4 linked regions of the Anolis sagrei genome follow. The protein of the gene in region 4 interacts with the protein of the main gene of each other region in a pairwise test. Links are inferred from orthologs where the notes say so. Each region holds a gene or a part of one and is shown on either strand. Other genes may lie near its edges. The genes, in order: ASB7, ABITRAM, AEBP2 and HMBOX1.

Region 1 (7,788 bases), on a different chromosome or scaffold from region 4:
CCTCCATTCGTACCTCTTCAAATTCTGCAGCACTGCTGGTCACAGCTGACCTCCAGCTGGATCGCTCAAGGGCCAGGGCTCCCCAGTTCTCAGTGTCTATGCCAGAGATTTTAAGGTTGGCTTTGAGCCCATCTTTAAATCTCTTTTCCTGTCCACCAACATTCAGTTTTCTGCTCTTGAGTTCGGAGTAGAGCAACTGCTTTGGGAGACAGTGGTCGGGCATCTGGACAATGTGGCCGATCCAGCGGAGTTGATGGCGGAGGACCATCGCTTCAATGCTGATGCTTCTTCCAGCATGCTGACGTTTGTCCGCCTGTCTTCCCAAGAGATTTGCAGGATTTTCTGGAGGCAGCGCTGATGGAATCGTTCCAGGAGTTGCATGTGATGTCTGTAGACAGTCCACGTTTCGCAGGCATATAGCAGGGTTGGGAGGGGAATAGCTTAATAAACAAGCACCTTGGTCTCCCTACGGATGTTCCGGTCCTCAAACACTCTCTGCTTCATTCGGAAAAATGCTGCACTTGCAGAGCTCAGGCAGTGATGTATTTCGGTGTCGATGTTGACTTTGGTGGAGAGGTGGCTGCCAAGGTAGTGGAAATGGTCAACATTTTCTAATGCTACACCATTAAGCTGTATCTCTGGCATTGGAGAGGGATTGGCTGGTGACTGCTGGAAGACCACTTTGAGCACTTTGGTCTGTAGACAGTTCATGTTTCGCAGGCATATAGCAGGATTGGAAGGACAATAGCTTTAAAGACAAGCACCTTGGTCTCCCTAAGGATGTCCCGGTCCTCAAACACTCTCTGCTTCATTCGGAAAAATGCTGCACTCGCAGAGCTCAGGCGGTGTTGTATTTCAGTGTCGATATTGACTTTGGTGGAGAGGTGGCTGCTAAGGTAGCGGAAATGGTCATATTTAATCGTCAATTAAATATAATACTATGAATAATATATAATATATAATGACAATACTGCTTTTTATTATTGTACATGTTAATGTATTGTCGAAGGCTTTCATGGCTGGAATCACTCAGTTCTTGTGGGTTTTTTCGGGCTATATAGAACATGGCCATATAGCCCGAAAAAACCCACAAGAACTGAGTGTACATTTTAAGTTGTCATGTTTTTGATTGTGAGCCGATTTGAGTCCTCGTAAGGAGAGAGAAAGTGGGATAGAAATCAATCAATCAATTAATAAAATAATAATAATAATACCTGCGTGACCGCATCTCTGTATATGAGCCCACACGATCCCTCCATTCATCTGGAGAGGCCCTACTCACGATCCCACCTGCGTCACAAGCGTTTTTGGTGGGGACGAGGGACAGGGCCTTCTCTGTGGTAGCCCCTCCCCCCGACTCTGGAACTCTCTCCCCAAGGACATCAGACATGCCCCAACGTTGGCAGTCTTTAGGAAGAGCTTGAAGACCTGGCTGTTCAGTGTGCCTTTCCAGAATAGGAAACTCCCAGCATCATGTCCCGGACGCACTTTACTAGAGATTTAAGATTGCCTGCACATTGCACCTACTCTAAAATCCTTATATTTCACCTGTCATGTCCAGCACTTCTTAATTTTATTCATTACATTTGGCTCGGCCCTAGTTTTAAATGTGTCATGATGTATTGTTTTAATGTTTTACTCTTATTGCTTTAATGTTTTATTGGTTTGCTTTATGAGTTTTATTGTTGTATTTGTTATGTTGTTGTTTTATTGAGGGCCTTGGCCTTAGTAAGCCGCACTGAGTCCTTCGGGAGATGTTAGCGGGGTACAAATAAAGTTAATAATAATAATAATAATAATAATAATAATAAATCATTCCCGACACCAAGAGTTTTTGCTTGTTTGCATGCTGGTTGCACGATCATCTATGCTGATGATCGTGCCATTACTGCTCAACCAGGGAGCTTTGAGACGGTAAAACAGAAGCTCTCCGAAACTCTAGGTGCTCTTACTGCCTATTATAGGGAAAACCAGCTGATCCCTAACCCATCTAAAACACAGACATGTGGCTTTCATCTCAAGAACAGACAAGCATCCCAAGCTCTGAGGATGGCCTGGGAAGGAATCCCACTGGAGCATTGCAGCACACCCAAATACCTGGGGGTCACTCTGGACCGTGCTCTGACCTACAAGAAGCACTGCCTGAACATCAAGCAAAAAGTGGGTGCCAGAAACAATATTATACGAAAGCTGACTGGCACAACCTGGGGATCACAACCAGATACAGTGTAGACATCTGCCCTTGCGCTATGCTACTCTGCTGCTGAGTATGCATGCCCAGTGTGGAACACATCTCACCACGTTAAAACAGTAGATGTGGCTCTTAATGAGACATGCCACATCACCACGGGGTGTCTGCGCCCTACACCACTGGAGAAATTACACTGTCTAGCTGGTATTGCACCACCTGACATCCGCCAGGAAGTAGCAGCCAATAGTGAAAGGACCAAGGCAGAGACATCTCCAGCTCATCCCCTGTTTGGGTATCAGCCAGCACGTCAACGACTTAAATCTAGAAATAGTTTTCTAAGATCTACAGAGACACTCGCTGGAACACCTCAGCAAGCGAGAGTCCAAAAGTGGCAGGCTCAAACCCAGTACGTCAACCAATGGCTGATACCAAATGAGAGACTTCCCCCTGGGCACACAGAAGACTGGGCGACTTGGAAGGCGCTCTGGCACCACGAGATGCAGAGCCAACCTTCAGAAATGGGGCTACAAAGTGGAATCCTCGACATGCGAGTGAGGAGAAGAGCAAACCACTGACCCCCTGCTGCAATGCAACCTGAGCCCAGCCACATGCACAATGGAGGACCTCCTTGTGGCAACACCAGAGGCACTCCAAGTGGCCAGATACTTGTCAAAGGACATTTAATCAACTACCAAAGTCACAAGTTTTGTATTTAGGTTCTTGTGGGTTTTTTCGAGCTATAGGGCCATGTTCTAGAGGCATTTCTTCGGGAGAGGCCCTTCTCTCCATCCCGCCTGCTTCACAGGTGCGGTTGGCGGGAACGAGAGATAGGGCCTTTTCTGTGGTGGCCCCTCGGCTTTGGAATGCCCTCCCTATAGAGATAAGATCAGCCTCTTCGCTGATGGTATTTCGTAAAAAACTGAAAACATGGATGTTTGAGCAAGCATTCGGTTAACCCGATGCAAGGAAATTCTTGACCTAGGACCGGCAATTACTGACAATGAAATAGGATCATGATTAAATTAAGAGACGCATTGGTCTGTATTGGTGGCCCAATACTGTGAAGTGTATATGTATATGTTTTATATTTTTAATTGGAATATTGTTGTTTTAATGTTGTTGTAAACCGCAATGAGTCGCCGTTTTAGGCTGAGATATTAGCGGTATACAAGCGTACTAAATAAATAAATAAATTTCTCCTGACGTTTCGCCTGCATCTATGGCAAGCATCCTCAGAGGTAGTGAGGTCTGTTGGAATTAGGACAATGGGTTTATATATCTGTGGAATGGCTGGGGTGGGGCAAAGAGCTTTTCTCTGCTGGAGCTAGGTGTGAATGTTTCAACTGACCGCCTTCATTAGCATTTGAAGGCCTGCCTGAGCCTGGGAAAATCTCTTGATGGGAGGTGTTAATCTGTGCCTGGTTGTTTCCTCTCTGTTGTTTTGCTGTTGTAATTTTAGAGTTTTTTTAATACTGGTAGCCAGATTTTGTTCATTTTCATGGTCTCTTCCTTTCTGTTGAAATTGTCCACATGCTTGTGGATTTCAATGGCTTCTCTGTGTAGTCTGACATGGTGGTTGTTGGTGTGGTCCAGCATTTCTGTGTTCTCAAATAATATGGCTGACTTATCTGGTTGAAGTAGTCTGCAGTTTTGTATTTGTCTGTTTGTTTGCTTTGTTCTGTTAGAAATGTAATATAATGGACTGGTTGCTCTGACAGGACAAATAAATAAATAAATAAAAACCAAGAGTTTTTGAAAGTGGTGTCGCTTTGATGCCGGAAATGTGCAGAAACGTGTTGCTGTAAGATTTGTCACCCTCTTAGAGGTTGTGAAGGAGCAGAAAGGAGGAAAAAAAGTGGTCGAGGCGTTTGGGACGCTGGCGCCGTCCAATGGCGTGACGGCGCGAGGCGGGAGGCGGGCGCGGATTGGCTGGGAGAGGAGGTCAGGCCCTGCCCGGTGACCCCGGGCGAAAAGAGAGACAGGAAGGAAGCAGAAGGAAGGAGGTAGCAGCAGCAGCGGCGGCGTCTTCTCCTTCTTCTCCTCGCCTTCTCCAGCCAGGCGTCTCCTCCCGGGTCCCTTCTCTGCCTTCTGAATGAGGAAGAGGTGCCGGGAGAGGGAGGCTGACTGACAGGTAACGGCCGGCGCGGGGGCGGGACTTGGCGGCCCCTCGACCAATCCAGGGAGGAAAAGGCCCCCGACCCGGGCCTCCCGGGCCTCTTCCTTGGTGGTCGCGCACGCCGCCCCCGTGATGCCATTCGATGCCAGGAGTGGGGTCGCCTCTCACGGGATGCCAGGGTGCCTCCCACTTGACCAAGCTGTAGGGTGGGGATTGTTGTGATTATGACCATTATGGCCCCTTCCACACAGCTGAATAGAACCCACATAATTCTGCTTTGAACTGGGTTATATGGAAGTTGGGACTGAGGGCCCTTCCACACAGCCCTCTATCCCAGAATATCAAGGTGGAATATCCCCCATTATCTGAATGTGGGCTCTGATAACCCAGTTCAAAGCAGATATGGTGGGATTGTATGACTTGATATTCTGGGATAGAAGGGCCCTCAGATAACCCTTCCACACAGCCATATAACTCAGGACATCTAGGCAGATCATCCACAATAGCTGGTTTGAACTGGGTTATCTGAGTCCACACTGCCATATAACCCAGTTCAATGTGGATTTTATACAGCTGCGTGGAAGGGTTCTAGGGCCCTTCCACACAGCCCTCTATCCCAGAATATCAAGGCGGAAAATCCCACGTTATCATAGAATCCCACGAACTGGGTTATATGGCAGTGTGGACTCTTATAACCCAGTTCAAAGCAGATATGGTGGGATTCTATGCCTTGATATCCTGGGATGGAAGGGCCCTCAGATAACCCAGGCCCCTTCCACACAGCCGTATAACTCAGGACATCTAGGCAGATCATCCACAATAGCTTCTTTGAACTGGGTTATCTGAGTCCACACTGCCATATAACCCAGTTCAATGTGGATTTTATACATCTGTGTGGAAGGGTTCTAGGGCCCCTCCACACAGCTCTATATCCCAGAATATCAAGGCCCTCAGATAACCCAGGCCTCTTCCACACAACCGTATAACTCAGGACATCAAGGCAGATCATCCACAATAGCTACTTTGAACTGGGTTATCTGAGTCCACACTGCCATATAACCCAGTTCAATGTGGATTTTATACATCTGTGTGGAAGGGTTCTAGGGCCCTTCCACACAGCTCTATATACCAGAATATCAAGGCCCTCAGATAACCCAGGCCCTTTCCACACAGCTATATAACTCAAGACATCCACAATAGCTGGTTTGAACTGGGTTATCTGAGTCCACACTGTCATATAACCCAGTTCAGTGTGGATTTTATACAGCTGCGTGGAAGGGTTCTAAGGCCCTTCCACACAGCCCTGTATCCCAGAATATCAAGTCAGAAAATCCCACATTATCAGAGTGTGGACTCTGATATCCCAGTTCAAAGCAGATATTGTGGGATTGTATGCCTTTATATTCTGGGATAGAAGGGCCCTCAGATAACCCAGGCTACTTCCACACAGCTATATAACTCAGGACATCAAGGCAGATCATCCACCATAGCTGGTTTGAATTGGGTTATTTGAGTCCACACTGCCATATAACCCAGTTCAGTGTGGATTTTATACAGCTGTGTGGAAGGGTTCTAGGGCCCTTCCACGCAACTCTATATCCCAGAATATCAAGGCAGAAAATCCCACATTATCAGAGTGTGGACTCTTATAACCCAGTTCAAAGCAGACATTGTAGGATTGTATGCCTTGATATTCTGGGATAGAAGGGCCCTCAGATAATCTGGCCCCTTCCACACAGCTATATAACTCAGGACATCAAGACAGATCATCCACAATATATTGTCAAAGGCTTTCATTGCCGGAATCAACTGGGTTGTAGGTTTTTTCGGGCTATATGGCCATGGTTCCGGCCCAGCTTATCTATCCGAACGCATCTCTTCCTACGAGCCCTCCAGGAAGTTAAGATCATCTGAGGAGGCCCTGCTCTCGATCCCGTCTGCTTCGCAAGCACGCTTGGCGGGGACGAGGGACAGGGCCTTTTCTGTGGTGGCCCCTCGGCTATGGAACTCCCTGCCTAGGGATATTAGATCAGCCCCCTCCCTCCTGACTTTTCGGAAGAAAGTAAAAACCTGGCTCTTCGAGGAAGCCTTCGGAACCTCGGAATAGATAGTCAAACTTGAGATGGAGAATGACCCAGGAACAGCCAAGACGATGAAATGGATGAGGATTGGAATGAGAGGATATAGCTCTTTTTAAATTGTTATTGCACTGTCTTTTTTGTCTAAATGCACTTAATTGTTTTTGCTGTTGTATTGTATTGATGGCATCGAATTGTGCCGATATGTAGTCGCCTGCGGGCTGAGTCACCTGCGGGCTGATATGGGCAGGATATAAGTGATGTAAATAAATAATAAATAAATGGTCTAGAGGCATTCTCTCCTGACCTTTCGCCTGCATTTATGGCCAGCATCCTCAGAGGTAGTGAGGTCTGTTGGAACGAGGAAAAAGGGTTTATATATCTGTGGAATGACCAGGGTGGGACAAAGAACTCTTGTCTGCTGGAGCTAGGTGTGAATGTTTCAACTGACCACCTTGATTAGCATATAATGGCCTGACAGTGCCTAGAGCAAACCTTTTCTGAGAGGTGATTAGATGTCCTTGTTTGTTTCCTCTCTGTTGTTGTGCTATTGTAATTTTAGAGTTTTTTAATACTGGTAGCCAGATTTTGTTCATTTTCATGGTTTCCTCCTTTCTGTTGAAATTATTATTATTATTAAACTTTATTTGTACCCCGCTAGCATCTCCCGAAGGACTCGATGCGGCTTACAAAGACCAAGGCCTCAACAACAACAACAGACAATAACAATATAATACAAGCAAATTAAAAACATAAGCAATAACAACAACAAAACATTACACTATTACACAATAAAACCAGGGCCGGGCAAATAAAGGGTACAGGTTAAAAGTGCTGGGTGTAAGAGGTGATATGTTGGGATTCTGGGTAAGTGCAATGTGCAGAGAGTCTTAAGCTCTAATAAAGTGTTTCTGGGATGTAGTGCTGGAGGTTATCCTATTCCAGAAAGGCACATCGGAATAGCCAGGTCTTCATGCTTATGGATTTCAATGGCTTCTCTATGTAGTCTGACATGGTGGTTGTGAGATTGGTCCGCATTTCTGTGTTCTCAAATAAAATGCTGTATCCAGGTTGGTTCATCAGGTGCTCTGCTATGGCTGATTTCTCTGGTAGCTTCAGCAGACAAGAGTCCTTTGTCCCACCCTGGTCATTCCACAGATATATAAACCCTTTCACCAGAGAAATCAGCCATAGCAGAGCACCTGATGAACCAACCTGGATACAGCATTTTATTTGAGAACACAGAAATGCTGGACCACTCTCACAACCACCATGTCAGACTACACAGAGAAGCCACTGAAATCCACAAGCATGTGGACAATTTCAAAGGAGGAAGCCATGAAAATGAACAAAATCTGGCTACCAGTATTAAAAAAAACTCTAAAATTACAACAGCACAACAA
Region 2 (8,095 bases), on a different chromosome or scaffold from region 4:
GCACTGGAGGAAAGATTAGAAAATTTTGGCCAGTTCTTCCTTTTGTGCCCTTTGAAAATCAGCTTGAAACATGAATGGCCCTCTAGATAAATGTAAGATGTGGAGTGCTCCTGGGAAGGAGGAAAACAACATTTTGCTACCCTTTTTTTATCCAGTGAAGAGCCGCTACTACATCTCAGCCACTTCCATGTATAGAAGATTCATGGAGATGATATTATAAAGTAAACCCTGCTTTGTTTACTTTCTGTTTCTGATGTTGAAAATGTTACTGTTAGGCACTCCCCCCCCCCCCTTTGCTACCCCAATTAACTGCCTACAGACAAGGCACATAGACTGGACTTTTCTTTGGGTAGTGAACTCATTGCACTCATTGCACACATGGTGCGGTACTGGCATTTTACCATTTTACCAAAAATAATGGATACTAAAACTATAAGGGATGAATTGTAAACTGTTTTGCCATTATTTAATATTGCAATTGTATCTACAGCATGCAGTGTCGATTTTTTGTCTTGTATATGGTACAAACATGTGAAGTGGTACTACTTTTAATGTCCCTAATATGGAATAAGCAACCTAAAGTTATCATTTCCATTGCTGCGGTCAATAGAAAAAAATAGTACTCAGAGTACGTCAGTTCTTAGGCTATAAACAAGTTTCTCAATGAAGATATTTAATATTGCATTGCCATTAAAATTACATGATCTTTGATCTATCTGCATTAAAGGTTTACAGAAACGTTCAGTTGACCTAAACATATAAAGCCAAACATCTGCAGTGAACAAATCTGTGCAGTTCCCTGTGGGAATTTGGCATATTTTTCACAAACCATGCAGTAGATGGAAGTGTTTGGCAGGAACATAAAGGTGGTGAACAAGGCAGGTTGCCAAAGATGGTGCTGCATTAATGGAATAGTTGAAGGAAAGAACTTTTCAGATAAAAGTAAGAAGATGATTGTAGGTAATCTTGCTGTCTGCTTTGTGTTGTAGTTTCTTTCTAAATTTAGCTGGGTATGTGAGCCTTCAGAAGCCAATGAGTAGAGAGAGTGAATTGTTGATTCGGAACAAGTTTTTCACACCATGCATATGCTAAAGATAGAAACAGTGATGGAAAGAATATACTACACTTCCGAAGTAACTGGATTCTTGCGTACTTGGTGCTATAAGATTTCATTATGAGTGTAACATAGAATTGCCGAAGTCCGAAAACATGTGATACGAGACATTTCATACTTTGACTTCATACAGTAACAGATTTGTTCATCAATATAATATCTTAAAGTGTCACCATCCACTATAATCCCAATCTGGGTAGAAAGATGAGATACACATTAAATAATGTTTTTTAAATGTGCTTCAAATGTCTTATGAAGTTTTTAAGCTCTTCAAGTGTAAAAAGTGTTTTATATTCTTTATTCATCTCCCAAAAACATAGCCAATCTCTATATAGTCACCTCTTTGTATTTGCAGGTACAACCATCCAGTTTCAAAACATATTTTGAATAATTAGGCCTTGATTTTACCATTTTATATAAGGGACACCATTCTACTAGACCATTTGATTTTGGTATTCACAGGTGTGTGTGTAAGCTACCAACTCCAAAGTATACCAAGGGCCATTGCACATAAATGAAGCTAAATATTAAGAGTTGAGTTACTCAAATTTTGTACTTCAAATCTATATATTTACCTTTATTTATGTACATACATTTTATTTACTCCAGGTTGAAGTTCAATCAAATGCATTCTACAAAACTGGACATGCATGTATATATTAGTGGGTCAAATCCGTGGATCAGAAACATTTGGGATAAAATGTAGCTTTTACATATGTAAGGTGGATGTTGTTAACATCTAGAAAAAGGTAGATTTTGCTACAAGTCAAAAAGATGACTTGTAGCAGAAGTCTTATATCTACATTTTGAGTAAAAAAAAATGCTCTTGACTCCTGAAATTTGGAATTCATTCCTCTATTTGACACAGCACTTAACTAACTAAAAGTCTTGAAAGAATAGAGGACTGGAATATACCTCTAAACTTTAAGTTGGATATGTATTGTTAACTGGCTTACCATGGACATTTTTTTGATAATAAAACATTTCAATTCATTATTGTTTGCTTATTTATACTTAAGAGAATAATTTGTAACATCCTAGTATGGTATGACAATTATAATGTACATTAAACAGGCACATTTTCTGCTCAAAACAAAAGTATAGTTTTAACCCACAGTATAATTTAAACCTAGACTTTGAAAAAATAAATAAATAGAGGGTGGATGACCATCTGTTAGGGGTACTTTGTACTTTTCCTGCATGGCAGGGGTTGGACTAGATGGCCTATGTGGTCTCTTCTGATTCTATGATTCTAAATATGAAATTTGATGAAGGTATGACTACAACAATGTCAGGGTACATTTTATCAAAAATAAAGTTATGTTGTTGTAGAAATCCCTGAACTTCCTTGTAGGCAGGCCAACACACCCTGAGATATAGCCCTTCAATCTGTTTAAAGACCTCTAAGGAAGGAAAGACCACCACCCTCATGTCAGTTGCTATCATTCTCAAATAGCTCCTACAGTGACGAAGGTCTTCCTAATGTGAAAGTGGAAGTCATAAAAGCACAACCTTATACACATGTTCTTGTTCTGTGCCTTCAGGTTGTTTCTGACCTATGGTGACCCTACGGCTAAACTACTATGAGGTTTTATCTTTGCTTTCATGTGTGGTTGAGACAGTAACTGGTGGGTTTTATGGCTGAAGGGAACTAGCCAGAAGAGCAGGAACCACCAAATGGGCTGTATTTATTTACTCTGAGGAGCTGTAATGACCCAGAGGTCTGTCTGGGGCCACTGCTGGACCCCAGCCACAATGACACTGGTTTCTCGTGTCTTGCAAGAGTGCCTGGTTTATACTGTCCATATAATGGGAGTTTCGAGTTACATTATATGGCAGTGTCGATGGCGCCTTTCTGTATTCCAAGTCTAGGAAGGTTTTGAGTAGCATTTCATTTTCAGACCTGCTTCTAAGTCCCTTCACATACTGTTACTCCTAACTAACACGGCCATGTCTTTGAATGCTTGGTTATCTATATAAATAAAAATGTAATGTCCATTTATGGGACTAACAGAACTCAAAAACCACTGGGGGAATTGACACCGAATTTGGACACAATACACCTAACAACACAATGTATGTCCTTCACTCATAAAAACACTGAAAAACACAGCAGAAGGGACTTCAAAAGCCCCGAAAAGCTAAATGACGAAAAGCTAAATGACAATACAGAAAAAAGGAAGAAAGAGGGAGGGAAGGGGAGAAAAGAAAGAAAGCGGGAGGGAAACCTGGAATATTGTGTCCAATTCTGGGCACCACAATTCAAGAGAGATATTGACAAGCTGGAATGTATCCAGAAGAGGGCGACTAAAATGATCAAGGGTCTGGAGAACAAGCCCTATGAAGAGCGGCTTAAGGAGCTGGGCATGTTTAGCCTGAAGAAGAGAAGGCTGAGAAGAGATATGATAGCCATGTATAAATATGTGAGAGGAAGTCATGAGGAGGAGGGAGCAAGCTTGTTTTCTGATTCCTTGGAGACTAGGAGGCGGAACAATGGCTTCAAACTACAAGAGGAGATTCCATCTGAACATGAGGAAGAACTTCCTGACTGTGAGAGCCGTTCAGCAGTGGAACCCTCTGAGTGTGGTGGAGGCTCCTTCTTTGGAAGTTTTTAAACAGGCTGGATGGCCAACTGTCAGGGGTGCTTTGAATGCAATATTCCTGCTTCTTGGCAGGGGGTTGGACTGGATGGCCCATGAGGTCTCTTCCAACTCTGATTCTATGAAAGAAAGAAGGAAAGGGAGAACGAAGTATGGAAGCAAAGAGAGAAGGAAGGAAAGAGGTAGAGAAGGATGGAAGGAGAGAAAGAGGAAGGGAAAGAAAAAGGGGGAAGGAAGGAAAGTTAGAGAAGGAAGGAGAGAAGGAAAGTAAAAAGGGAAAGAAGGAAAGAAAGTGAAGGAAGCGGGGATATGTAGAGAAAGAGGGAGGGAAAGTAAGGAAAGGGAGAAAGAAGCATGGAAGAAGAGAGAAGGAAGGAAAGAGAGAAGGACGAAAGGGAGAAAGAGGGAGGGAAAGAAAAAGGGGGAAGGAAGGAAAGTTAGAGAAGGAAGGCAGGAGAGAAGGAAAGAAAAAGGGAAAGAAGGAAGGAAAGGGAGCGAAGGAAGGGGGGGAAGATGTAGAGAAAGAGGGAGGGATAGAAAGAAGGAAAGGGAGAAGCAAGGAAAGGTAGAGAAGGAAGAAAGGAGAGAAAGAGGGAGGGAAAGAGAAGGGGAAGGAAGGGAAGTTAGAGAAGGAAGGAAAGAAGGAAAGAAAGAGTAAAGGAAGGGAGGGAGATGTAGAGAAAGAGGGAGGGAAAGTAAGAAGGAAAGGGAGAAGGAAGCATGGAAGCAAAGAGAAGGAAGGAAAGAGGTAGATAAGGAAGAAAGGAGAGAAAAAGGGAGAGAGAAAAGGGGGTGAAGGAAGGAAAGTTAGAGAAGGAAGGAGAGAAGGAAAGAAAAAAGGGAAAGAAGGAAGGAAAGAGGGAGCGAATTAAGGAAGAAGATGTAGAGAAAGAGGGAGGGAAGGAAATAGAGAAGGAAGAAAAGAGACAGCAGAAGAGAAAGGAAAGGGGGGAAGGGAGGAAAGAGATAGAAAAAGAAGGAAGGAGAGAAGGAAAGACTGAAAGGAAAGAGAGAGTGAAGGAAGGAGGGAAAGAAGGAGAGAAAGAGGGAAGGTTGGCCACAGCAACGCGTGGCGGGTATCAACTAATGTTATTATGCCTCACTCCCAGAGAGAGGTGGCATGTACCATACATACATACATAGTCATACCCTTGAGCCCGGAAGTTCCTGCTCAAGGAAAGAGGAAGGTGCTTTCTTCTCTTTCCTGTACTTTGCTGCTTGGGATTCTCTTCCGGGTCGTCGTTGGCTTAGCGGAAGGAGAGGGCCCCCGCCGGCGGCTCGCGGGGCAGGCGGGAAGGAAGTTAGCTGGGCGCATGCGCGCACTGCACGGGGGAGGGGGAGACTTTGACGCGCCGGCTGCCATGGCAACGGTGCCCGGGGTGACGGAGCGCTACTTCACCCGATGGTACAAGCCAGGTAAAGGGAGAAGCAGCCCTGGAGTGAAGGAGAACTGGAACAGAGGGAGGAGGCGGCTCAGGGCATGATCTTCTTTTCAAAAAGGCTTTCTCAAAGCATTGCAGGTTGAGCATCCCTTCTCTGGGATCCCAAAACACACCCAAAGCGCCCACCTGGGTGGCGAGAAGGCAGATATGAAACAGCAGTGCGTTTTGCATTTAGACTTGGGTCTTACCTCCATCAGTAATGGCCTGTGATCATGTTTGGCAGGCTAATAAAGGGCCCTTCCACACTGCTCTTTATCCCAGGATCTGACCCCAGATTATCTGCTTTAAAAAGGAATACATGAGCCCCCACTGCCAGATAACCTGGGATAAACAGATAATCTGGGATCAGATCCTGGGATAAAGAGCAGTGTGGAAGGGCCTTTTATTAGCCCTTGGTTTTTTGTTGTTCATTCGTTCAGTTGTCTCCGACTCTTCGTGACCTCATGGACCAGTCCACGCCAGAGCTCCCTGTCGGCCGTCACCACCCCCAGCTCCTTCAAGGTCAGTCCAGTCACTTCAAGGATGCCATCCATCCATCTTGCTCTTGGTCGGCCCCTCTTCCTTTTGCCTTCCACTTTCCCCAGCATAATTGTCTTCTCTAGGCTTTGCTGTCTCCTCATGATGTGGCCAAAGTACTTCAACTTTGTCTCTAGTATCCTTCCCTCCAGTGAGCAGCCGGGCTTTATTTCCTGGAGGATGGACTGGTTGGATCTTCTCACAGTCCACGGCACTCTCAGAACTTTCCTCCAACACCACAGTTCAAAAGCATCTATCTTCCTTCGCTCAGCCTTCCCTAAGGTCCAGCTCTCACATCCGTAGGTTACTACAGGGAATACCATGGCTTTGACTAGGAGGATCTTTGTTGCCAGTCTGATGTCTCTGCTCTTTACTATTTTATCGAGACTGGACATTGCTCTCCTCCCAAAGAGTAAGCGCCTCCTGATTTCCTGGCCACAGTCTGCATCTGCAGTAATCTTTGCACCTAGAAATACAAAGTCTGTCACGGCCTCCACATTTTCTCCCTCTATTTTCCAGTTGTCAATCATTCTTGTTGCCATAATCTTGGTTTTTTTACGTTTAGCTGCAACCCGGCTTTTGCGCGTTCTTCTTTCACCTTGATTAGAAGGCTCCTCAGCTCCTCCTCGCTTTCGGCCATCAGAGTGGTGTCATCTGCATAAGCCGCATCGAGTCCTTCGGGAGATGCTAGCGGGGTACAAATAAAGTTAATAATAATAATAATAATAATAATAATAATAATAATATCTGAGGTTGTTAATGTTTCTCCCAGCAATTTTACCCCAGCCTTGCATTTGTCAAGCCCCGCACATCGCATGATGTGTTCTGCATACAAGTTAAAAAGGTTGGGTGAGAGTATGCAGCCTTGCCGTACGCCTTTCCCAATCTTGAACCAGTCTGTTGTTCCATGGTCAGTTCTTACTGTTGCTACTTGGTCCTTGTACAGATTCCTCAGGAGAGAGACACGGTGGCTTGGTATGCTCATCTCACCAAGAACTTGCCACAATTTATTATGATCCACACAGGGACCGAGGGCAAGGGGCCGACCAAGGGCAAGATGGATGCATGGTACTGGATTGACCTTGAAGGAGCTGGGGGTGGTGACGGTCGGCAGGGAGCTCTGGCGTGGGCTGGTCCATGAGGTCACGAAGAGTCGGAGACGACTGAACGAATGAACAACAACATCTATGGCTGGATGGCTCTTTGTGAAAAGGGCTTTGATTATTTTGGACTGGATGGCCTTAAGGCAGCACTTCTCAACCTGGAGGTCAGGACCCCTGAGGGGGTCACAAAGTGGTGTCAAAAGGGTCACAAAAGAAAATCAGAAAACACAGTATTCTCAGTATTGTCGAAGGCTTTCATGGCCAAAATCACTGGGTTGTTGTAGGTTTTTTCGGGCTATATAGCTATGTTCTAGAGGCTATCCTCACTACCTCTGAGGATGCTTGCCATAGATGCAGGTGAAACGTCAGGAGAGAATGCCTCTAGAACATGGCCATATAGCCCGAAAAAACCTACAACAACCCACAGTATTTTCTGTTGGTCATGGGGGTTCTGTGTGGGAAGTTTAGCCCAATTCAATCATTGGTGGGGTTCAGAATGCTCTTTGATTGTACTGGGAACTATAATTCCCAGCAAATACAACTCCCAAACGGCAAAGTGTATTTCCCCCAAACTCCATCTGTGTCCATATTTGGGCATATGGAGTATTCATGCCAAGTTTGGTCTAGATCCTTCATTTTTGACTCCACAGTACTCTCTGGATATAGATGAACTACAACTCCCAAACTCAAGGTCAATGCCCACCAAACCCTTCTAGTGTTTCCTGTAGGTCATGGGAGCTCTGTGTGCCAAGTTTGGTTCAATTTCATCATTGATGGAGTTCAAAATGCTCTTTGATTGTTAACTATAAATCCCAGCAACTACAGCTCCTAAGTGACAAAATCATTTCTTAAAGTGATGGTCACTCCTTGGGTTAGTAGGTGTCTTGTGGCCAAATTTGATGGCAATTCGTCCAGCAGATTTTGCTACCATTTTCCTTCTTTTTTTCTCCTCCTTATACCACTTCGCCCCCATCCACACCGCCCCTATATCCCAGGATCTGACCCCAGATTATCTTTATATCCCAGATTATCTGGCAGAGAAGACTCATATAATCTAGTTTTCTAGATCCATTTCAATCTGGTTTCAGGCTGTGGTTGCCTTGGTGGATGATGCGGAGAGCTGGACAGGGGGAGTCATGACCTGTGGACTGTGGGGTTCTGCAGGGCTCATCCTTATCCCCAATGTCATTTAATATCTACATGAAACCGCTGGGAGAGATCATCTGGAGTTTCAGAGTTCGGTATCATCTGTATCTGGATGATGCTCAACTCTACTACTCCTTTCTATTGGATGCCAAGGAACCCATCCAGCACCTGAAC
Region 3 (7,823 bases), on a different chromosome or scaffold from region 4:
AAACTGCCAGTCCTGGGATTCCATAAGTTAAAGTGGAGCCATGGCACTATACTTGTTTTCTGTGAATGAATGCAGAAATAACATCTAGGCTGCATCTGAACTGACATTTGGGAGTTGTAGTTGCTGAGATTTATAGTAAATCTACAATCAAAGTGCATTCTGAACTCCACCAACAATGGAATTAAACCAATCTTGGCACACAGACCTCTCATAACTAACAGAAAATACTGGAAGTATTTGGTGGGCATTGACCTTGAGTTTTGGAATCATAGTTCACTTACATCCAGAAAGGCCTGTGGACTCAAACAATGATGGATCTGGACCAAATTTGGCACCAATACACAATCTGCTCAAATGTGAACACTGGTGGAGTTTGGGGGAAAATAGACCTGGACATTTGGGAGTTGTAGCTGCTGGGATTTATAGTTCACCTGCAACCAAAAAGCATTCTGAACCCCACTAATGATAGAATTGGGCCAAACTTCCCACACAGAATCCCCATGACCAACAAAAAATACTGTGTTTTCTGATGGTCTTTGGTGACTCCCCCAGGAGTCTTGATCCCCAGATTGAGAAATGCTGGCATAGGGAAACACATGTGAATTAATGGACAATGTATATGGTTCAAATCTGTGGACTCAAACAATGATGGATCTGGACCAAATTTGGCACCAATACACAATCTGCCCAAATGTGAACACTGGTGGAGTTTGGGAGGAAATAGATCGTGATGTTTGGGAGTTGTAGCTCACCTGCAACCAAAAAGCATTCTGAACCCCACCAATGATAGAATTGGGCCATACTTCCCACGCAGAACCCCCATGATGAACAGAAAATACTGTGTTTTCTGATGGTCTTTGATGACCCCCCTGAAACCCCCTCATGACCCCCCCCCAGGGGTGCTGTAGCTGCTGGGATTTATAGTTCACCTGCAACCAAAAAGCATTCTGAACCCCACCAATGATAGAGCTGGGCCAAACTTCCTATACAAAAACAATACTATGTTTTCTGATGGTCTTTGGTGACTCCCCCAGGAGTCTTGATCCCCAGATTGATAAATGCTGGCATAGGGCAACACATGTGAATTAATGGACAATGTATATGGCTCAAATCTGTGGACTCAAACAATTTTGGATCTGGACCAAATTTGGCACCAATACACTATCTGCCCAAATGTGAACACTGGTGGAGTTTGGGGGGAAATAGACCTTGACATTTGGGAGTTGTAGCTCACCTGCAACCAAAAAGCATTCTGAACCCCACCAATGATAGAATTGGGACAAACTTCCCACACAGAACCCCCATGATGAATAGAAAATACTGTGTTTTCTGATGGTCTTTGATGACGCCCCTGAAACCCCCTCATGACCCCCCCCCCAGGGATGTTGTAGCTGCTGGGATTTATAGTTCACCTGCAACCAAAAATTTATTTTATTTATTTGGGGTTCTTGTACCCCGCCCTTCTCACCCTGTAGGGGACCCAGGGCGGCTTACAACAGCAAAGGCACGCTTAGATGCCTGCCACACAAAACAATCATCACAGAAGTGCAACAATTCATAGTTACCACAATTCAAGCCATTATCCCAATAAAAACAATAAAAAATCGATAAAATCGATAAAATCAATAAAATCAATACAAACCTAATTCTTCCTCCTACCCTATCAGTGTACACTAACTCACAGATCTGTTTTTGATTTCACTTCGACAATCCTGCTGATCTTGCACATCTGATTGTCTTATTTAATTGTCTTATTTAATTGCCTGGTTGCCCAAAGGCCTGGTTCCACAACCATGTCTTCACCCTCCTCCTGAAGGAGAGGAGGGAGGGTGATGCTCTGATTTCCCTCGGGAGTGAGTTCCACAGGTGAGGGGCCACCACTGAGAAGGCCCTGCTTCTCGTCCCCACCAGCCTCACTTGTGACAGTGGTGGGGTCGAGAGCAGGGCCTCCCCAGATGATCTCAAACTCCGAGGTGGGACGTAAAGCATTCTGAACCCCACTAATGATAGAATTGGGCCACACTTCCCACGCAGAACCCCCATGATGAACAGAAAATACTGTGTTTTCTGATGGTCTTTGATGACCCCCTGAAACCCCCTCATGACCCCCCCCCCAGGGGTGTTGTAGCTGCTGGGATTTATAGTTCACCTGCAACCAAAAAGCATTCTGAAACCCCACTAATGATAGAATTGGGCCAAACTTCCCACACAGAACCCCCATGATGAACAGAAAATACTGTGTTTCCTGATGGTCTTTAGCAACCCCCCCCCCTCCAGGGGCCCCCATCCCCTACTTAGTGTGATGAGGTCCTAAGTCCAAAACTTGAGGGAGGGCTGCAGTTTGGCCATGCCTGGTATAAAAGTGATTTTAAGAAAGGGGGGCAAAGGGAGTGTCTACACTGCAGCGTGAATGCAGTTGGACTCCATCCCTCAAGGCAAAGAACCCTGCACAGTTCCCCAGCACTCAAGGCAAAGGACCTATGCTGATAAGAGACAGGGAATTCAAGAGAGCACCTATTCCAAACCAGGGAAGGAAGGAAGAGAGGGAAAGGAAGGGAAGGGGATGGAGGCGCTAATTTCGGACCTGTCCTCGGAGTCCATGCGGCTGAGAGGCTCTCCGTCGGAGGAGGAGACCTCCATGCTGCCCCTGCGTCCGCCCGACGAGGCGCTGCACGTACTGCCTCCTCCTCCTCCTCTTTCTCCTTCTCCCCCGGCTTCTCCTTCGCTGCCTCCGCTGCGGCTGCTGTAGCCCTCGTCGCGGCTGGATTCGCTGCTGGAGCAGGACGAGGAGGCGGAGGAGACACTGCTGCTGCTGCTGCTTCCTCCGCCAATGAGGCCTCCTCCTCCTCCTTCTCCGCCGTCGTCGCTCTTGCCGCTTCCTCCTCCTCCTCCTTCGATGGCGGAGATTTCCGTCAAAGGCCCCGCTAGGCCTCCTCCTCCTCCGCCTCCTCCCAGTGGCAAGGCCTTGGCGTCGGCTTCCGGGCTGAGGGAGCGGGTCTCGTCGCTGCAGCACCCGCTGGAGGAATCCTCGTCGTCGTCCTCCTCCACTTCATCGTCCTCCTCCTCCTCGTCGTCTCCGTCTCCCGCCTGGCTGGCGCTCTCCGGGCTGGACTCCGACATGCTCTCCGCCCCCTCTCCGCTCAGCAGCAGCGCCGTGGGCTCAGCCTCAGAAACGGGCGAGGCCTCGGCCTCCATTTCCACCAGCGGCGAGGGAGAGGCCTCCTCAGAGGCGCCTGGAGGAGGAAGGAGAAGAGGAGGAGGAGGACAGAGCAACGGGGAGCCGCCTTCGCCGCTGCTCAGCTCGGCCGCCATGTTGTCGCCTTCCCCTCCCTTCTTCCCGTCTCTCTCTCTCCCTCACGAAAAAAGGGGAGGAGCTTCCCACTGCAGCGGGATGACGGACGGACGGACGGACGGAGGGAGGGAAGGAGCGTGCGCGCGGGCGGGCGGTTGGCTGGCGGCGAGGGTGCGCATGCGCGGCCTGGCGCGCGCGCGTTATGGAAGCCGCCTGGGGACAAAAGTGAGGCAAGGACAGGCAGCCCGTCCAACTGCGCTTGGAGGCAAAGCGAGGTGGGAGGCGAGGGATAAGCGCAGAAGGCCGAGGGAAATAGGGACGTTCAAGAATGTATGAACCAGTTATTGTTGTTGTTGTCCAGCCTCTGTTTAAAAGCTTCCAAAGAAGGAACCTCTACCACTCTCCCGAGGCAGAGAGTTCCACTGTTGAACGTCTCTTAACAGTCAGGAAGTTAAGTTAACAGTCAGGAGGTTAACTCAGACATCAGAAGAGCTGCAAAACCGAGAACAAGCCACGAAAGTAAAGATGAAGATCCACCCAGAGGAAAAGTGTTTGATGATGTTTTTGATTTTTGCTAGATTGATATTTTAGATTGTGTCTTGAATTTTGTACCTTGTTCTTCTATGTTGTACACCGCAGTGAGTCGCCCCTGGGCTGAGAACTGCGGTATATAAGCAAAGTAAATAAATAAATCAAGGGAACCACTGACCACATAGGGAAATTGATGAGGAAACACAACGTACAAACCACTTACAGACCCACCAAGAAAATCCAACAAATGCTACGTTCAGCAAAGGACAAGAGGGATCCTCTCACCTCTGCAGGAGTCTACCGTATACCATGCAGCTGTGGACAAGTCTACATAGGGACCACCAAACGCAGCGCCCAGACACGCATCAAGGAACATGAAAGGCACTGCAACTACTCCAACCAGAGAAGTCAGCCATAGCAGAGCACCTGATGAACCAGCCTGGACACAGCATATTAGTATAAAAGTATGATAAGTATAAAATTGTGTGCTGAAATAAAACATATTATACATAAGAGGCAAAAACCAGCACCTATTAATCACCAATTAAAATCCAGTTGGCATTGGAATCAATTAAAAACCTCCATTGCTTACGATATAGTCAACTGTTTTCAAAGGCCTGCTTCCATATCCATGTTTATAGTTATTATCCAATAGCAGAGCACCTGATGAACCAGTCTGGACACAGCATATTATTTGAGAACACAGAAATGCTGGACCACACCAACAACCACCATGTCAGACTACACAGAGAAGCCACTGAAATCCACAAGCATGTGGACAATTTCAACAGAAAGGAGGAAACCATGAAGATGAACAAAATCTGGCTACCAGTATTAAAAAACTCAAAAATTACAACAGCAAAACAGAGAGTAAACAATCAGGCACATCAATTCACTCTCAACAAGAGATTCCCCCCAGGCGCTTCCAGGCCATTGAATGCAAATCAAGGTGATCAGCTGAAACATTACCCTGGTTATTCCAGATATATAAACCAATTTTTCCTACTTCCAACAGACCTCACTACCTCTGAGGATGCTTGCCATAGATGCAGGCGAAACGTCAGGAGAAAAATTGCCTCCAGAACATGGCCATATAGCCCGGAAAAACCTACAAAAACCCAGTCAGGAAGTTCTTCCTAATGTTCAGATGGATTCTTATTTCTTGTAGAAATCTCATTGTTCCATTGCATCCTAGTCTCCAGGGCAGCAGAAAACAAGCTTGCTCCCTCCTCCCTCTTAACTTCCTCTCACATATTTATACATGGGTTGTTGTAGGTTTTTTCGGGCTATACGGCCATGGTCTAGACTAGAGGCATTCTCTCCTGACGTTTCGCCTGCATCTATGGCAAGCATCCTCAGAGGTAGTGAGGTCTGTTGGAACTAGGAAAATGGGTTTATATATCTGTGGAATGACCAGGGTGGGGCAAAGGACTCTTGTCTGCTGGAGCTAGGTGTGAATGTTTTCAACAATTCAGAGTGCTGGTTTTGATCTACAAAACCCTTTACGGCTCTGGCCCAGCGTACCTGTCCGAACGTATCTCCTTCTACATCCCACCTTGGAGTTTAAGATCTTTAGGGGAGGCCCTGCTCTCAGCCCCACCTTTATCACAAGTGAGACTGGTGGGGATGAGGGACAGGGCCTTCTCGGTGGTGGCCCCTCGCCTGTGGAATGCACTCCCCGGGGAAATTAAGTCATCAACATCCCTCCTCTCTTTCAGAAGGAAGTTAAAAACCTGGATATGGGACCAGGCCTTTGGGTAAGCTGGCAGATGGATAAAGGACAACGACAACCAGAGTAGGAAAGGACAATTGACAATGCTGGATGGATTATAGCAGGGGTCCTCAAACTAAGGCCCAGGGGCCGGATGCGGCCCTCCAAGGTCACTTACCCAGCCCTCGCTCAGGGTCAACCTAAGTCTGAAATGACTTGAAAGCACACAACAACAATAATCCTATCTCATCAGCCAAAAGCAGGCCCACACTTCCCATTGAAATACTAATAAGTTTGTATTTGTTAAAAATGTTCTTCATTTTAATTATTGTATTGTTTTTAAGTGTCTTTTGCACTACAAGTAAGATATGTGCAGTGTGCATAAGAATTCATTCATTTTTTTCCCCAGGCTATAATCCGGCCCTCCAACTGTTTGAGGGACTGTGACCTGGCCCTCTGTTTAAAAAGTTTGAGGACCCCTGGATTATGGATTTATGAATTGGCAAACATTGACCACAAGATGATTTTATTGCTGCTATTGTATTAATTTGATTGTTTTAACTAGTTATAACTGTTATCGTTATATTGTATTATATTGTAGACAGCAGTGATAGCTGACAGGTCTGATGTGACGATGTGAGCTAGCTGGAGGTATGTGGAAGTCTTCCAGCAAGTGTTCCATTTTGTATGCAGTCTACTTGGCTAGTGGGAATAGGGACTCAATTAGAGTTACCAGGACCTTGGTTGACTACTGAAGTGTCAGATATTCTATGGTTCTGCAAATCAAAAAGTCCCAGTGCTCCCAGTTTATGAGGCCTGTTTTCACCACATCACTGTTGTTCATGGTTGAGATGAGGATGCAGATGGTAGGAGACGTCTGGAAAGGAGCAGGAGGCTAGTTGGGGAAGTCATGCTAGAGCTACAGGTGACAGTTTTTCCATCCCTGGGTGCAGATGCAGAAAATGTTAGAATCACCTGATCCCTGCTTGGAGAACTAGTAAGTGGCAACACAGTTCATTAATTTACTCCTGTGAATCTACACGTTGCAGACTTGTCAGACCAAAAGCTGGGGAGACTTTGGCATCTTTATTGGTTGGGTAGAAGAGGGAATTTTTGATGCAACCAAGTAATAAGCAACACCTGCTAAAAATCCCCTCTTGTGCACAACTATAAAAGGTACAAAAACCCTCTCCTGTGTTAGCTCTGGCATCCTGACACATTAGTCTGTTTTCTGAAGCAAAGGTTGTCTGCAATCATAACCCACTAAACAGAACACATTCAATCTAGACTGGCATTGACCAGCATTGAGTTAGATTAGTTGACCCCAGTGTCTCTTCCAGCTGTAGAATTCTGTGATTCAGTGATTCCAAATTAGTGAAACCTTTCCCGCCTTCATGCTAACTGTTGCACAAACAGCCCATTCTTTGTGTGGCTTTCTCGAATCTTCCATGCCGCACATGGTTCTATCTGTTAATTGGATCCCGTAGACCTCCTTTATGGTGTCAGGTTTCTCCCAGCCAGTCGAAATTGGCCCTTGTCCATGGGCTTGAACTGCCGGTGACCCTATCCATCACGCAAGCTTGACTCTGTCTACACAGATTACTGGGCAAAACCCATGATTGGCTTGGATTTCATCCCAAAGGAGGAGCAAATGGCAGATTTCTGCACTATTACAGTGGGAGCAACTGGAGGCTTTACCCAAATATCTTGAAGCTATTAAGAACGCAACAAAATCTTCTCAAACAAAGGGAAACAAGACACTCACTCATACTGTGAGCTCAGCAAATAACAAGGCCATATAGAAAAAGTACACCCACCTTCCCCTTTTAAAGTTCTAGTCTACACTCATCTTCCAAAATAGTTCAGGCAGTGTTTCTATACAGATGTAACCAATAAAGTCCCACTGGACTTGCAGGATTGTGCTTTGAATAGGCCTGCATAGAATTTCATTGTAAACTTTTCGTTAAATGGATACTCTAAACCTGTCATTTTAACATCCTTTTTTGTGGAAAATACCTTGGGGTGTATTAAATGCCTACTTATTATGTAAGTAAAAAGTTCAAAACCCTATTGCCTTTGGGTTTCAAAATCCTTTTGCCTTTGAACACAGCCACCCTCGGAGTGCCAACCACCTGAGAACTATTCTAAAATTGAATGAGATTATTGGGCTGAAATGAGTTCCCAACCGTTAAACCGGGAACCAGTGTGGTCTAATGGTTCATGCCTTGGACTTCTGCTCTGGAGAATAGGGTTCGAATCCCCTCTCAGCTGTAGAAAACCACAGGGTGA
Region 4 (8,661 bases):
AATAGATAGAACAAACCTTACAAAATAGATAGTCCAAAAGAAGTCTCATCCACAGAGTGGAAGAAAATAACCCTTTTGTATTCTATTCCCTGCAAATACATATAGAGAACAGAAAATAAAACGGATAGTTCAAAAGAAGCCTTCATTCTCAGAGAGAAAGAGAACAAACCTTTCCCTGCAAGTGGATTTATATTATATTATGTATATATCCAACAAAATAGCTAGTTCAAAAGAAGTCTCCTTTCTCAGAGAGGAAGAAAAACAAACCTTCCCCTGCAAGTGGATTTATATTATATTATATTATATATCCAAAAAATAGCTAGTTTAAAAGACATCTCCTTTCTCAGAGAGGAAGAAAACAAACCTTCCCCTGCAAAGGGGATATAGATAGAGATATGATTATATAGATATAGATGATAGATAGATATACCATAAATACATATCCCACAAAATAGCTAGTTCAAAAGAAGTTTCTATTCCTCAGTGAGGAAGCAAATAAACCTTCCCTTGCAAAGGGGATATAGATAGAGATATATGGTTATATATCTCTATCTATCTGTCTATTATAGATATAGATATATTATACTATAAATACATATCCAACAAAATAGCTAGTTCAAAAGAAGTATCTCTTCCTCAGTGAGGAAGGAAACAAACTTTCCCTTGCAAAGGGGATATAGATAAAGATATATGATTACATAGGTATAGATATATTATACTATAAATATATATCCAGCAAAATAGCTAGTTCAAAAGAAATATCTCTTCCTCAGTGAAGAAGCAAACAAACCTTCCCCTGCAAAGGGGAGAGATATAGATATGGATAGATAGATATAGATATAATATACTATAAATATATATCCAACAAAATAGCTAGTTCAAAAGAAGTATCTCTTCCTCAGTCAGGAAGCAAACAAACCTTCTCCTGCAAAGGGGATATAGACAGATATATATGATTATCCCTCTCTCTCTATATATATATATATTGCTGTATATATATATAGTATAATATATCTATATATTATATAGATATATTATACTATATATATACAGCAAAATAGCTAGTTCAAAGGAAGTATTTCTTCCTCAGTGAGGAAGCAAACAAACCTTCCCCAGCAAAGGGGAGATATATAGATATAGATATAATATACTATATATATATATAGAGAGAGAGAGAGAGCGTATTATACACACACACACATATATAACTACAGTGCAGATAGATATAGATGTATTATACTATAGATATATATTCCACAAAATTGCAAGTCCAAAAGAAGTCTCTCTACCTCAGTGATGAAGAAAACAAACCTTCCTGTGCAAAAGGGATATATTGATAGATATAGAAATATTATACTATATCTTCTTTCTAAGCTATTTATCCAACGGAAGGGTTAGCATAGATATATTATACTATATCCCATAAAACAGCTAGTTCAAAAGAAGTCTCTCTACCTCAGTGATGAAGAAACAAACCTTCCCCTGCAAAGGGGATGTATATATACTATAGATAGATTAAACTCTCTCTAGATATCTATATCCCACAAAAGAGCTAGTCCAAAAGAAGTCTCTCTACCTCAGTGATGAAGAAAACAAACCTTCCACTGCAAAGGGGATATATAGATATAGGAATATTATACTATATCTTCTTTCTAAGCTATTTTCCCAATGGAAGGGTTAGCATAGATATATTATACTATATCCCACAAAACAGCTAGTTCAAAAGAGAGGAAGAAAACAAACCTTCCCATGCAAAGGGGATATATTGATAGATATAGATATATAATACTATATCTTTTTTCTAAGCTATTTTCCCAATGGAAGGGTTAGCATAAATATATTATACTATATCCCACAAAACAGCTAGTTCAAAAGAGAGGAAGAAAACAAACCTTCATGTGCAAAAGGGATATATTGATAGGTATAGATATATAATACTGTATCTTCTTTCTAAGCTATTTTCCCAATGGAAGGGTTAGCATAGATATATTATACTATATCCCACAAAACAACTAGTTCAAAAGAAGTCTCCTTCTTCAGAGAGGAAGAACACAAACCTTCCCATGTAAAGGGGATATATTGATAGATAGATAAATATAATAAGCTATTTTCCCAATGGAAGGGTTAGCATAAATATACTATACTATATCCCACAAAACAGCTAGTTCAAAAGAAGTATCTATTCCTCAGTGAGGAAGCAAACAAACCTTCCCCTGCAAAGGGGAGATATATAGATATAGATAGATATACATATAATATACTATATATATCCATAGAGAGACAGTATACTATATAGATAGATGGATATAGATCACACAAAATTGCAAGTCCAAAATAAGTCTCTCTATTTCTGTGAGGAAGAAAACAACCCTTCCCTTGGTTATATATCTCTATCTATATTATAGATATAAATATATTATACTATAAATACATATCCAGCAAAATAGCTAGTTCAAAAGAAGTATCTATTCCTCAGTGAGGAAGCAAACAAACCTTCCCTTGGTTATATATCTCTATCTATCTATATTATAGATATAAATATATTATACTATAAATATATATCCAGCAAAATAGCTAGTTCAAATGAAGTATCTCTTCCTCAGTGAGGAAGCAAACAAACCTTCCCCTTCAAAGGGGATATAGATAGAGATATATGGTTCCCCCCCTCTCTCTCTCTCTCTCTCTATATATATATATATATATAGATATAGACATATTATACTATAAATTTATATCCAACAAAATAGCTACTTCAAAAGAACTATCTCTTTCTCTTGCAAAGGGGATATAGATAGAGATATATGATTTATATATAATAGATATAGACATATTATACTATAAATATATATCCCACAAAACAGCTAGTTCAAAAGAAGTATTTCTACCTCAGAGAGGAAGAAAACAAACCTTCCCCTGCAAAGGGGATGTGTATATAGTATAGATAGATTAAACTCTCTCTCTATATCTATATCCCACAAAGAGGAAGCCTCTCTTCCTCAGAGAATGAGGAAAACCAACCTCTTCTTGTCCTTCCTCCCCAAAACTCTGTTGACATTTCCCCACAAAGTCACTTTGGGAAGGAGCCACTTTCTTCCTTCCAAATCTCTCCTGTTTCTTTCCCTTTTCCTCCAAAATCTCCTTTCAGAAACAACTCTTGATTTTCTGCCCTAGCATAAGATGGGCCTCACCTGGAGCCTTCTTCTGGAGCCCTGAAGAGGAGAAGTTGAGGGGAAGCTTCCCTGCCCTCAATCAGACCAGCCTGACTGCCTTTGTCTGCCTGACAAGCGCCATGTTGATATCAACATCCAAGCTCCCACCTGCCGCCGCGGGGAGGCCCTGGGACTTGTAGTTCCGCCTCCCCCAGGGTGCAGGCGCCAAGTCGCCGCTGGGAACTACCCATCCCGGCATGCCTTGCGCCGACGCTGATTAGACGGCGGTTGGAGGAGGGAGGCGGGGAGGAGGGAGTAGAGACTACGCTTCCCGGCGTGCTCTGCTGCTGGCAGGACAAGATGGCCGCCCATGACTTCATTCTCCTGAATCATTAGGAGGCTGAGAGAAGGACTACACTTCCCAGGATGCTTCGGGAAGCACTTCCGGTTGGGAAACAGGAAGGAAGAGACTGCATGCCACAAACAGAGCCTGGGGTGAAGCATGAAGCTGGTGAGTCTGGGAGGACTTTGGAGGAAGTTTTAAATAGTAATAATAATAATAATTGTGCGATGTGTGATCCAGTACAACTGTGCAGGTACAGTTGTACCAGGAGCTCCAATTTTGTTTGCTTTGCACAGAATGTTTGTTGTAGTCCTAAGTTTCAGGGACTCTGCAGATAGGTGGCTTCTTTTGGCTGCAATCATAGGGCAAGCCACCTGTCAATTATAGTTAGGTTCCCTGGCCCTGCCCCCTTTTTGGGTTTTGTAGGGAATTATGCTGGGGAAAGTGGAAGGCAAAAGGAAGAGGGGCCGACCAAGGGCAAGATGGATGGATGGCATCCTTGAAGTGACTGGACTGACCTTGAGGGAGCTGGGGGTGGTAATGGCCGACAGGGAGCTCTGGCGTGGGCTGGTCCATGAGGTCACGAAGAGTCGGAGACGACTGAACGAATGAACAACAAAGGGAATAGGAGTCATTTGGGATTCAGTCCACACAGAGAAGCCTTTCGTGCAGGACGTAATACCAAGAGCTCCTGTAGAAAGCTTAGTCTTCTTCGTCTGATGAAGGCAGAACCCGGAGCAGGGCATCCCCAGACGATCTTAAAGTCCTAGATGGTTCATAAGGGAAGATGCATTCGTACAGGTAAATTGGACCAGAACCATTTAGGGCAGGGGTCCTCGAACTTTTTAAACAGAGGGCCAGATCACAGTCCCTCAAACTGTTGGGTTATTGATGTCACCCTACCAGGAGACAGTCACATTGAGGAAAAACAATGAAAAACAGGAAAACTCAGCCGTGATCAGGACCTCAAAATTGAATGGCAAGGGCTCTGGCGAAAACCAGTACAGGTGATCCCAGTGGTCATTGGCACACTGGGTGCTGTGCCAAAAGATCTCAGCCAGCATTTGGAAACAATAAACATTGACAAAATCACGACCTGTCAACTACAAAAGGCCACCTGACTTGGATCTATACGCATCAATTCGAAAATACATCACACAATCCCTGGTTCACCGAGGAGCTGGCAGCGATGAAGCGAAGGAAGAGGGAACTAGAGAGTGTGTGGCGTTCGGATCCGAGTGAGCCAAATCGAACACGGTTTGTGTCCTTTTTAAGGGCATATGCCGCGGCAATAAAAGCCGCAAAGAAGGCCTTCTTTGCGGCTACTATTGCGTCTGCAAAGAACCATCCGGCTGAGCTGTTCCGAATTGTCAGAGGCCTTTTAAATCCCACCACTCAAGGTGGGAACCCTGACGATTCGACTTCTCGCTGTGTAGCTTTTGCTTAGTTCTTTGCAGACAAAGTCGCTTTGATCCGTTCTGGTCTGGATACCATGTTAATGGCAGTCTCTGAGGATGTAACATGAGCACCTGCTTGTCCAGTTTTGATGGATTCATTTCAATTGGTGAAACCCGAGGATGTGGACAAGATACTTGGAGGAATGAGGCCAACCACATGCATCCTGGACCCCTGCCCATCCTGGCTTCTAAAGGAGGCCAGAGGGGGATTGGCTGAGTGGGTTAAGGTGGTGGTTAACGCTTCCCTTCGGGAAGGCAAGATTCCAGCGAGCTTAAAACAAGCTATAATAAAACCGCTGTTGAAGAAACCATCACTGGACCCCACTAAATTCGACAACTATCGGCCAGTTTCCAATCTCCCCTTCTTGGGCAAAGTCTTGGAACGTGTGGTGGCCTCACAACTCCAAGTATTCTTGGTAGACACGGATTATCTAGACCCGGCACAGTCTGGCTTTAGGCCGGGGCATGGAACTGACACAGTCTTGGTCGCCTTAGTGGATGATCTGCGCCGGGAGCTCGACAGGGGGAGTGTGTCCCTGTTGGTGCTGCTGGACCTCTCAGCGGCCTTCGATACCGTCGACCACGGTATCCCTCTGGGACGCCTCGCGGGGATGGGTCTTGGAGGTACTGTTTTGCAGTGGCTCCGGTCATTCCTGGAGGGTCGATCTCAGAAGGTGTTGTTGGGGGACACCTGTTCAACCCCACAACCATTGTCTTGTGGGGTTCCTCAGGGCTCAATATTGTCTCCCATGTTGTTTAACATCTACATGAAGCCGCTGGGGGAGATCATCCGGAGTTTCGGGGTACGGTGTCATCTGTACGCGGATGATGTCCAACTCTGTCACTCCTTTCCACCTGCTACTAAGGAGGCTGTCCAGGTCCTGAACCGGTGCTTGGCCGCTGTGACGGTCTGGATGAGGGCGAACAAATTGAAATTGAATCCAGACAAGACAGAGGTCCTCCTGGTCAGTCGCAAGGCCGAACAGGGCATAGGGTTACAGCCTGTGTTGGATGGGGCCGCACTCCCCCTGAAGACGCAGGTTCACAGCTTGGGTGTGACCCTGGACTCATCGCTGAGCCTGGAACCCCAGGTTTCGGCAGTGACCAGGGGAGCATTTGCACAGCTAAAGCTTGTGCGCCAGCTGCACCCATACCTTGGGAAGTCTGACTTGGCTCTGGTTACATCCCGTTTAGACTACTGCAACGCTCTCTATGTGGGGTTGCCTTTGAAGACAGCTCGGAAACTCCAACTAGTCCAACGCTCGGCAGCCATGATTTTAACAGGAGCGGAGCGCAGGGAGCATACAACCCCCCTGTTGCGCCAACTCCACTGGCTACCGATCTGCTACCGGGCTGAATTCAAAGTGCTGGCGTTGGCCTTTAAAGCCCTAAACGGTTCTGGCCCAAGCTACCTATCTGACCGCATCTCTGCCTATGAACCCACCAGGACTTTGAGATCTTCCGGGGAGACCCTGCTCTCGATCCCGCCTGCTTCTCAAGCTCGGCTGACGGGGACGAGAGATAGGGCCTTCTCGGTGGTGGCTCCTCGGCTGTGGAACGCCCTTCCTACGGACATTAGACTAGCACCATCTCTAATGGTATTCCGCAAAAAGGTGAAGACCTGGATGTTTGTGCAGGCGTTTGAGTAATTTAGTGCAATCTGGTAATGGAACATAGGAATGGAACAATGGACGACGAACCTGGACTACGCTTGGATGATGAGAAGATTGGGTACGGTTGTTTTTCGTAATAATTGTGCATTGTAATTGCTTATTGGTAATTTATGGATAATGTGTTAAGTCAATTGTTATATGTTGCATGGCACCACTGCTGTTTCTACTGTTTTTACTGTTTGTGAACCGCTGTGAGTCGCCTTCGGGCTTGAGATACAGCGGTATAGAAGCAAAGTAAATAAATAAATAAATAAATCCCAGACGCTTGGGAAATGTTTGACTTGTGATTTTGTGATACGAAATCCAGTTTGCTGTGACATACTGTTTTTGTGTCAGTAAAATAATAAAAATAATAAAATATGGGAGGAAGAGATGATAATAAATAAATAAGGTCAATATAATAATATAATAATAAAATGTGGGAGGAAGAGATGATTCGCACACACACACACCTCCCTTTATATTTCTGTTTTTAATTTTGCAACTCCTGCCCCTTTTGGTGGGATGAGTTATAATTTCAAGCACCTATCCCAAAAACAGCAGGAGACGACGGGATCCCAGCTGAACTGTTTAAAATCTTGAAAGATGATGCTGTCAAGGTGATGCATGCCATTTGCCAGCAAATATGGAAAACACAAGAATGGCCATCAGACTGGAAAAAATCAACTTATATCCCCATACCAAAAAAAGGGAAATGTGAAAGACTGCTCAAACTTCCGCACAGTGGCCCTTATTTCTCATGCCAGTAAGGTAATGCTCAAGATCCTGCAAGGAAGACTCCAGCAATACATGGAGCGAGAGTGGCCAGACGTTCAAGCTGGGTTTAGAAAAGGCAGAGGAACGAGAGACCAGATTGCCAATATCCGCTGGATAATGGAGAAAGGCGGGGAGTTTCAGAAAAACATCTACTTCTGCTTCATTGACTATTCTAAAGCCTTTGACTGTGTGGATCATAATAAATTGTGGCAAGTTCTTGGTGGGATGGGCATCCCAAGCCCCCTTGTCTCTCTCCTGAGGAATCTGTACAAGGACCAAGGAGCAACAGTCAGAACTGACCACGGAACAGGAGACTGGTTCAAGATTGGGAAAGGTGTACGGCAGGGTTGTATACTCTCCCCCAACCCATTCAGCTTGTATACAGAACACATGTGCGGGGCTTGAGGAATGCAAGGCGGGATGAAAATTACTGGAAGAAACATTAACAACCATAGAATAATAGAATCAAAGAGTTGGAAGAGACCTCCTGGGCCATCCAGTCCAACCCCATTCTCCCAAGAAGCAGGAATATTGCATTCAAATCACCCCTGACAGATGGCCAGCCAGCCTCTGTTTAAAAGCTTCCAAAGAAGGAGCCTCCACCACACTCCGGGGCAGAGAGTTCCACTGCTGAATGGCTCTCACAGTCAGGAAGTTCTTCCTCATGTTCAGATGGAATCTCCTCTCTTGTAGTTTGAAGCAGGAAACAAGCTTGCTCCCTCCTCCTCCCTGTGACTTCCTCTCACATATTTATACATGGCTATCATATCTCCTCTCAGCATTCTCTTCTTCAGGCTAAACATGCCCAGCTCCTTAAGCCGCTCCTCATAGGGCTTGTTCTCCAGACCGTTGAAGAGATGATAATAAATAAATAAATAAATAAATAAGGTAAGTATAATAATATAATAATAAAATGTGGGAGGAAGAGATGATTCACACACACACATATCTCCCTTTATATTTCTGTTTTTAATTTTGCAACTCCTTCCCCATTTGGTGGGATGAGTCTTAATTTCAAGCACCTATCCCAAAAACAAGCGCCTTTCCAAATGAGCTTTTCCATCCAAGGTCCGAAAAAGAATATTTTCAGCCTATTGGTGGCAAAGGTACGAAACAAAAACATGAAATAAACAAATGAGACAAATACTGGGCCCATGACTACTCTTGAGGTTCCAAGAGCCCTAGCCAGCTTAGACTATAACAAGTAGTTACAGTCCAAGAATATTTGGAGGTCTGCATAACTCTGTCTCCTTTTCTACAGCCTCATCATAAACAGATAGCAT

What was found.
Region 1: the proteins of HMBOX1 (region 4) and ASB7 interact in binary tests that used the Homo sapiens proteins (3 or more experiments, as listed by UniProt). The two-hybrid records come from large-scale screens. The link is inferred for Anolis sagrei from reciprocal best matches to the Homo sapiens genes HMBOX1 and ASB7.
Region 2: the proteins of HMBOX1 (region 4) and ABITRAM interact in binary tests that used the Homo sapiens proteins (3 or more experiments, as listed by UniProt). The two-hybrid records come from large-scale screens. The link is inferred for Anolis sagrei from reciprocal best matches to the Homo sapiens genes HMBOX1 and ABITRAM.
Region 3: the proteins of HMBOX1 (region 4) and AEBP2 interact in binary tests that used the Homo sapiens proteins (3 or more experiments, as listed by UniProt). The two-hybrid records come from large-scale screens. The link is inferred for Anolis sagrei from reciprocal best matches to the Homo sapiens genes HMBOX1 and AEBP2.

Annotation. Positions count from the first base shown.
Region 1 is NC_090029.1:13,385,314-13,393,101, reverse strand, and holds the start of ASB7 (ankyrin repeat and SOCS box protein 7), read left to right. Parts: upstream 1-4,173; 5' UTR 4,174-4,322; intron 4,323-7,788. UniProt on the Homo sapiens protein: Probable substrate-recognition component of a SCF-like ECS (Elongin-Cullin-SOCS-box protein) E3 ubiquitin-protein ligase complex which mediates the ubiquitination and subsequent proteasomal degradation of target proteins.
Region 2 is NC_090024.1:105,132,385-105,140,479, reverse strand, and holds the start of ABITRAM (protein Abitram), read left to right. Parts: upstream 1-4,957; 5' UTR 4,958-5,027; coding exon 5,028-5,130; intron 5,131-8,095. UniProt on the Homo sapiens protein: Actin-binding protein that regulates actin polymerization, filopodia dynamics and increases the branching of proximal dendrites of developing neurons.
Region 3 is NC_090025.1:183,640,364-183,648,186, reverse strand, and holds the start of AEBP2 (zinc finger protein AEBP2), read right to left. Parts: upstream 3,395-7,823; 5' UTR 3,313-3,394; coding exon 2,585-3,312; intron 1-2,584. UniProt on the Homo sapiens protein: Acts as an accessory subunit for the core Polycomb repressive complex 2 (PRC2), which mediates histone H3K27 (H3K27me3) trimethylation on chromatin leading to transcriptional repression of the affected target gene.
Region 4 is NC_090021.1:8,091,142-8,099,802, reverse strand, and holds the start of HMBOX1 (homeobox-containing protein 1), read right to left. Parts: upstream 3,345-8,661; 5' UTR 3,189-3,344; intron 1-3,188. Other genes in the region: INTS9 (integrator complex subunit 9), read left to right, coding at 3,652-3,660. UniProt on the Homo sapiens protein: Binds directly to 5'-TTAGGG-3' repeats in telomeric DNA. Associates with the telomerase complex at sites of active telomere processing and positively regulates telomere elongation.